2 linked regions of the Nothobranchius furzeri genome follow. Each later gene encodes a partner of the first gene's protein in a complex. Links are inferred from orthologs where the notes say so. Each region holds a gene or a part of one and is shown in the gene's direction. Other genes may lie near its edges.

Region 1 (4,614 bases):
CGCCTGGTATTTTTTAATCTTATGGCTGTGAAACTGTAATAAAAAGTGCAAAGTGTGTGTAACTTTTCTCCTTTTTTCAGAACAACCTCAGCTTTCAGTGTATGGTTTGTATTTAGAATTTATTTCTATTAAAGCCTTTAAAAAATCTGCTTAAAAGTGAAAAAAGCAAAAACCTGGCCGCCATCCATCATCCAGAACTGTACTCTGGGTGCTCCTCCGTTCCGGCGGGGGGTTCAGGCACATGTGTCCTCAAGACACCGTCCGGGGTGCGTGTCTTACTCCTAGCTGGCTCTGTCTGCCATCCTGGCTCTCTCTCTCTGTGTCCCCCTGGTACATGCGTTCCTCCCTTTAAATAAAATCTGTATTGCCTGCGTCTGTTCATTAATTTGCAGTCCAGGCAACACTCCGCCGCAGGTGAAGACGATTGGGATGATTAACACACCAAACAACAAAACACACCATCAATAAAACATGCACATCAGAATAAAAACAAGTAAAACATGCAATATAAAATATAACGTAAGTGCAACATTACCACTCTGTGACATATATGCACGAAAAGCCTCATTTTTAATCTTTTCAGCACTTTTGGAATTTTAATGATATCTTTAACGGTTTAGGAATTGTGGTAATGGGAAGCATGTCCAATCCCGTCTGCGGTGACAGGTTGGTAATAAGAATATTGCGGCATTAACAGAGGGGTGCTGGCGGTCAGGGCTAGGGGGCCCCCCAACACAAGAGGGCCCCAGGCGGCCGCCGACCTATGCCTACTGGTAAAACCGCCTCTGCTTACATCGATCATAATGGGCAATGTGAGATCACTGGCCAACAAGATGGAGGAACTCCAAGCCCTGTCAAGGACTCAGCCAGAGTTTCGGCAGTTTCGGAACCGCTGGAGGAGATAATGCAAAGAAGGATTCTCCAGAGAATCAAGAAAATTATGGACAACCCTGAGCATTCTCTTCACAAGACTGTCCGACAACGGAAGAGTGTCTTCAGTCAGAGGCTTCTTCAGTTTCGCTGCAACACTGACCGCTACTGGAGATCCTTCCTGCCAACAGCCATTGTGATATACAATAACTCTTTGATGACTTGATTATTATTATTATTCTGAGCAGCAATCAATTTCTCTCTGGGATTAATAAAGTATTTTTGAATTGAACTGAACAAGTTCAGCCATGTTGCAGTCACTATCTTCAAGACACCCCACCCTCTCCTTGCTGCAATTTTTTAAAGCCTCCCTGTGGGCACATGTGAGTCAAGATGGGTGAGGCCATGAATGCAAATTTACAGTGGGACATAGATATGTGAGTGTTTTCAAATCCTAGCATTAGCTATTGCGAGATAGCCCATCTCTTGCGTTACATGAGAACATGTCTCAGATAAGTGGATAGAAGACTGTTTTCATGTTCAGCCTGCATGGAAAACTCAGAGTGACCATGTTAAATCACAAATAACATTTAAAAAGTGTTTTTTCAGTCAACCACACCTTTAGGAAATAAAGCTTGAACCATGATTGTAGCTTTTATAGCTTTATTTAACTAGCTTCTCAACACTCATATTTGTCATAATGTTGAAATCTACAAATCTTTCAGAACAAAATTATTGTTTAAACTGTACTTTATTGTTTATTTCGGTGAAAACTGCGCTGCGCAGTTTAACCGCAGTAACAAATTTCAGTGTTGCACCTTTAAGACCTTACTCGTGACCACGCAGGTCACGTTACTGTCAAAGACCACCATTCTGCGCACGCGCTGTCCACGCATCTGAGGAAGTGGCGACAAAGCAACAACAATCTGACTAAAAGTAAAGTGTTATTGTTGTTATTTGTTAATAATTAGGCTAACGAGCCAGCTGCACTCATGTTAGATCGTATCGATAAGAGAATGTCTGCTTCAGCGCTGATTTAGTGTCAGAACGGTGTCCGTTCGCTGCTAACTTTAAGCTAACAGTAACGATCAGCTGTTGTTTTGGTTGGAGGAAGCTGTCTTGACGAGCCCAACTGTATAACACCACAAATGCGACGAGACAGGATACTCCAGAGCAGTTTTACAACATTATTTATTTAACACAGACACTCCGAAGTGATCGTTGGGGGGGAAAGGTTGTGAATGATCTGTTGGTAATTGAATCCACAAGAGTGGCTTCAAGATGCACGACGCCTATGAGTCGGTGCCTATTTTAGAAAAGCTTCCTCTTCAGATCGACTGCCTCGCTGGCTGGGGTGAGTCTAACACCTGTGGTTGAGCAGATGTGTTAGTCCACTGGAGCTCCTGACTGTGTTTGTCTCCTCAGAGGACTGGCTGCTGGTCGGCACTAAGCCAGGACATCTCCTCCTCTACAGAATAAAGAAGGATGCAGGTAGGAAGAGCCCAGGGCGTACAGACGGACATTCCGGTCCTCTCTAACCAGCTTTAAACAATTCCTTAATATCTCATCAGGCTCCAACCGGTTTGAAGTGACTTTAGAAAAGTCCAACAAGAACTTTTCAAAGAAGATTCAGCAGGTAGGACAGGATTTGTGATGATGTTGAAGAGTAAAGTTGCCTTTACATGTACTTCCTGTTTGGATAGTAAACATATTGTATCAAACTTTTTTATAAATAGAAAAATCATAATTTGTTTTTGCTCTCAAGATAAACGTTTGACTGTAAATTTGCACCAAATTGCTGCACCATTTCAATTTAGTGTCCTAACTTTTTCTCCAGCTTTATGTCGTCTCACAGTACAAAATTCTGGTCAGCCTTCTTGGTGAGTTTTAACTACGATTGTACATTTTTACATTTGGATTTAAAGTTAATCACCAAATCCTCTCTGGGATCTTTTATTTCAAAGTTGTGTTTTGATACATGCAGTGTGTGATTTATTTATTCTATCATGAATCATATCCAAGAATCTCCTTTGTTTCAGAGAACAACATCCATGTCCACGACCTCCTGACTTTTCAGCAGATCACTGTGGTGAATAAAGCCAAAGGAGCCACTCTGTTTGAGTGTGACCTGCAGGTGAGTTACTGTCACCACAACGCTTCTGCTTGTGGCAGGAAACAAAAACAAACACCCCCTAAACATTTTCTCTCTTGTGGATGTGTTTAAGGGGAGCATATTCTGCTTTATGATGTGTGCGACACATTCTGGTCAGAATATCAGAAGAATAACGAAGCCCAACAGAAACCACTTATGATATCAAACAGTTTTCATATAATCCAGGTTTTGACCGTCTTCACATCAGATTTTAAAGACCAAGTTCACTGAGAAACCGTTTTCGAGATATGTTTGGTTACTCTGTGTTTCACATGCAGGCTAAACAGAAAAAAATGGTCTTCTGCTTTCATTTCTTGCATTAGCTGCTCGTAGAAAATCGATGGGGAAATGTCTGGACTAGAGGAGCCAGTCAGTTGTGCGTCACATTGTAAAATTAGCATTCACGGACTCACCCATCTTGGCTCTTAACGGGAAGGCTGTTGTTGATTTAGCATCCAGGAGAGAGCAAAGCGCGTTTCGGCAAATAGAAGCTAACTGTTAGCATTAGCAACTCCACAACACGGCAGAACCCCTTCAGGCTGGTGGTATTTGTAGAGCTAAAACAACAACTTTCCAGATCAAACTGAGTCAGTGGTAGGGTCGTGTTGCTGTTATCCAATCAGAGGCGAGCTGTTTGAATATCAGGAAATAGGACTCCAGATCCTGCCGTCTTCTGCACACCTCTGCTCAGGCTCATTCTAGTTCCTGAAACATGAGGGCCAGAGTTTTTTTCTGCAGAGATTGACTCACGTGGCATTCATGTGTACAAGAGACCACTGCAGATGTATTGCAATTCATCCAGCGTTATCGCTAAATCTCGTTCTGTTAGAATGAAGGTAGTAAAGACTACTGCCACCAACAGTCTTAATAAAAAATCAATACAGTGATTTTAAATGTGAATACAGTATCGAAACGCTGAAATATCGCATCTAACCTATAAGAACCCACCCGATTGGCCAAATGGGTGCTTTGTCATAAACTTCATGTTTCTGTTTGATTGAAAAAATACATTATGTGCATTCAGCTGAACATTCGTTGTGTTTATTTCTGTTCTTTGTGATATGCATATTGAGCATGCCGACATTACGATGACAAAACTTTCGCCATTTATTGTGGCGCCTTACTTTGCCCCCTAGTGGAATCCTCCAGTACTGCGTGCAGTACAGCAGCCGCCTGCTGCCTGCATCATTGAGAGGTTAAAAATCAAGTATATTCCCAGCCTTAAGGGGAAAATGTTTCAAAATGTCCAATTTTCAGCCTTTAAAATGTTTAACTGTTGACGGAGCATCGCTAGCTAGTTACGTTCTGAAGCTAATCAACATGCTTAACCTCTGATTATGAATAAACGTCAAAAACGTGCATCAATGTTTGCCTTTTTATTAGAATAAGGTGAATATTATTGATTCTAAACGCTAAAACACAGTCAGCATTTACAAAGGAATGAAATGAAATCATATTAAATGGTAACTGAGAAAAGCTGGAAGCAGGCAGAAAACCCTCCCTCGTTAGAGGTCAGACCACTTACTTGTCTTTGTTAAATGGTGACATTCCCAAAGCTCATTTTGAACATTTATTGTCTAAAAACAGCATTT
Region 2 (3,316 bases), on another chromosome or scaffold:
GCAAGTCAGTGCTGGAGTGGTGTTGCTGTTATCCAGTCTGAGGCAAGATGTCCAAATAACAGAAAATAAGACTTCAAAACCCGCCGTTTGTAGCTCAGCTGTGATGTGGGTCACGTTTAGTTCCTAGAAATGGTGCAGCGGTATTATTCCTCCACCTGCTGGAGAATTCTAAAGATGTAAGAGAAGTTTTCTGGTTGGGAGACAAAATGAAATGGAAAAACGATTAGATCTAGATGGCTGAAAACCAGCTACTAACGTGTGTACCTACTATAGAAATGCACTCATTGCTCTTTAATCTTATTCCTTTTCTTATTTTCCTGAAGGGCTTTGCCACGCTGATCCGGGAGTGGCCTGGAGAACTTTACAACAACATGGCCATCGTTCAGGCCGTCACTGACCACCTGAAGAAGGATCCGACCAACAGCACGCTGCTCACCACGCTGGCTGAGCTGTGAGTCGCCTCAGCGCTCGCTTTCATCTAAGCTTCTTGTTAAGTTGCTGAACAGGACTTGATGCTTTCTCAGGTACACGTACGACCAGCGCTACGACAGAGCTTTAGAGATCTACCTGAGACTGAGACACAAAGATGTCTACCAGCTGATCCACAAGCACAACCTGTTCTCCTCCATAGAGGACAAGATCGTCCTCCTGATGGACTTTGATAAGGAGGTAACAAACCAACCTATTTATTATTTAGTCCATCTAAAGACCATTTATGTAATTAAATGTGTACGTTTTCATTAGAAAGCTGTTGACATGCTTCTCGACAATGAAGACAAGATTTCTGTGAGTAAATTTGACAGTTTTGAATGTCCTGGTAAGAACTTTGCTGCTAGCTGATGTCCATGGCTCTCCCGACAGATGGACAGGGTGGTGGAGGAGCTACATGGTCGACCTGAGTTGCTGCATGTGGTGAGTTTTCTGTAACTTGGATGTTTTAGGGGTTCATTTGAATTCATTGGTGCAGCGTGATGGCTAAGCCGTTTCTCTCCTAGTATCTCCATAAACTGTTCAAGAGGGACCACCACAAAGGACAGAAGTACCATGAGAAGCAGATCGGCCTGTACGCCGAATACGACCGGCCAAACCTTCTGCCTTTTCTGAGAGACAGCACTCACTGCCCTCTTGAAAAGGTACTGTGTGTTCCTGCCACCAGAATTACAAACAAATTAAGCTTCTGTCATTTCTTCTTACTTGAACTTTGTCGTTTTCATCCAGGCTCTTGAGATTTGTCAGCAGAGGAACTTTGTGGAAGAGACGGTCTTCCTGCTAAGTAAACATTTAGAAACAAACGCATCTGTTAAGGGAAACGTGAGAAACAAATGCAATTTTTTTTTCTCGTTCGTCTTTCAGGCAGGATGGGAAACTGTAGACGAGCCCTGCAGATGATCATGGAGGAGCTGGAGGACGTGGACAAAGCCATCGAGTTCGCTAAAGAGCAGGATGACGCAGAGCTGTGGGAGGACCTCATCTCGTACTCGATCGACAAGCCGCGTAAGACGTCACTTGACTCTGAACTTTTATCTCATTGTCTTTAACTCACTCCACCCTCACTAAACCCAGCGTTCATCACGGGCCTCCTGAATAATATCGGCACGCATGTTGATCCGATTCTGCTCATCTATCGGATCAAGGAGGGCATGGAGATCCCGAATCTCAGGGACTCGCTGGTGAAAATCCTCCATGACTACAACCTGCAGGTCAGGTGGCTTCTCTCAAAGAAAAACTCTATTTATTTAAATGTCTGCAGGTTGCAGACTGATTCTTTGGTGGCTTAAAGATTACATGACACACCAGGAGCTTCCTTCATGTAAAAACTTGTTATTAATCCATTAAGTTCTGCTTTTTGAAGAGTTATAACAGGTTTAACAGGTAATTTAATTGGTTTATATGGCATGAAATCTTCTGACTCACTTGCTTAATTACGCGCTTTTATTTCTCGACTTGTAGATTCTTTTAAGGGAAGGGTGTAAGAAGATCCTGGTGGCCGACTCCCTCTCCTTGCTCCAGAAGATGCATCGAACCCAGATGAGAGGAGTCCGGGTCGATGGTGGGAGCAGATTCTATTGCTAGTTTGTGTTGAACCAGTGCAGATGAACCCCTAAATGTGTTGATTCTGTTCATTCTTTCAGAGGGGAACATTTGTGAGTCGTGTCATGGTACTATATTACCATCAGGTGGGTTGATAATGTCATTGATCCCTGTGTTTTTTTTTTGTTTTTTTTTTTATGTTTACTGTATTAACAGCTTCATGTGTGTGTTTCAGACATGGCCCAGCCTTTCAGTGTGGTGGTGTTTCACTGCAGACACATGTTTCACAAGGAGTGTTTGCCGTCTTCAGGAATAGTAAGTCTGCATTCAAACACCTCTTTCCCAACTCTGGTGTTATTTTATCAGAAAACCTCAGGAACATCCTCCACTTTGTTCCCATTTTTACTTTTCCAGATTCCTGGAGTGCAGTTCTGTAACATTTGCAGTGCGAAGAGGCGAGGACCTGGAAGTGGAATACTCGAAATGAAAAAGTGACACTTTAATGCCCTCATGTTGTTGTTATTGATGCTTTTTGTCTCCTTTTTTCCCTCGTCGGTACGCTGATGAACAGGAATCTTTTTTCCTCAGTTGATGAACTGTACTCTCACCAAAATACAGAACTGTTACCCTTTATTTGTTTGCTAACTGTAAAGTGCCGTGTTTTGTCCAGATCACCTTGAATGTGATGAAGAATAAAATCACATAAACTCTGACTGTGTTGTTGATGCTTTATGTCATCCAAAATGCTTCTTAGGTTGAGAGTATCATAAATCATCAAAATGAGTTGCTGAGTGCATCACGGGAGTTTGATGCTCTCTACGGCCAATGCAAGAGCTACAGCTTCATTTTCTGTACAAATTTAAGTTCATTACTGGTTTGCGTCGATTCATCCAGGGTGTATCCTGTTTGTCTGGCATTCATGAACAAGATCTCATCTTGTAGTCGCAGAGATCTCATCTGTGCTTTATTGCACATCCTTATATAATTCAATTATTTGGGTGTCTAGTTGACAAGTGAGGACTGGATGGAGCAAAAGATGGGCCGGTGGATTGGGGCTTTGCAGTTGTAGCCGGTGCTTCATAACTTGTTCTTGTTGAAAGAATAAAAGGACGAAAATGCTCTTGATTTATTGGTTCATCTACATTCCCACCCTCACTGGTTTGGATAACCAAAAGTAAAAGATCCCAAATAAAAGCAGCTAAAATGAGCTTCTTTGGAGAAAAGATGAAGAGCTCCATCATCCAGGGGAGTTCCCATACATTTTTTGTCAGTATTTTAGGATTTA

The links.
Region 2: vps39 (region 1) and vps41 share a complex: the UniProt entries of both Homo sapiens proteins name them as parts of the homotypic fusion and vacuole protein sorting (HOPS) complex. The link is inferred for Nothobranchius furzeri from reciprocal best matches to the Homo sapiens genes VPS39 and VPS41.

Annotation. Positions count from the first base shown.
Region 1 is NC_091758.1:17,013,448-17,018,061, reverse strand, and holds the start of vps39 (vam6/Vps39-like protein), read left to right. Parts: upstream 1-1,716; 5' UTR 1,717-1,806; intron 1,807-1,933; exon of another isoform or gene 1,934-2,074; 5' UTR 2,075-2,151; coding exon 2,152-2,224; intron 2,225-2,295; coding exon 2,296-2,361; intron 2,362-2,441; coding exon 2,442-2,506; intron 2,507-2,707; coding exon 2,708-2,750; intron 2,751-2,909; coding exon 2,910-3,004; intron 3,005-4,614. UniProt on the Homo sapiens protein: Regulator of TGF-beta/activin signaling, inhibiting SMAD3- and activating SMAD2-dependent transcription.
Region 2 is NC_091747.1:46,098,277-46,101,592, forward strand, and holds the end of vps41 (vacuolar protein sorting-associated protein 41 homolog), read left to right. Parts: intron 1-323; coding exon 324-451; intron 452-524; coding exon 525-669; intron 670-744; coding exon 745-786; intron 787-861; coding exon 862-912; intron 913-995; coding exon 996-1,133; intron 1,134-1,218; coding exon 1,219-1,273; intron 1,274-1,353; coding exon 1,354-1,494; intron 1,495-1,563; coding exon 1,564-1,700; intron 1,701-1,950; coding exon 1,951-2,050; intron 2,051-2,132; coding exon 2,133-2,177; intron 2,178-2,266; coding exon 2,267-2,346; intron 2,347-2,445; coding exon 2,446-2,526; 3' UTR 2,527-2,744; downstream 2,745-3,316. UniProt on the Homo sapiens protein: Plays a role in vesicle-mediated protein trafficking to lysosomal compartments including the endocytic membrane transport and autophagic pathways. Acts as a component of the HOPS endosomal tethering complex.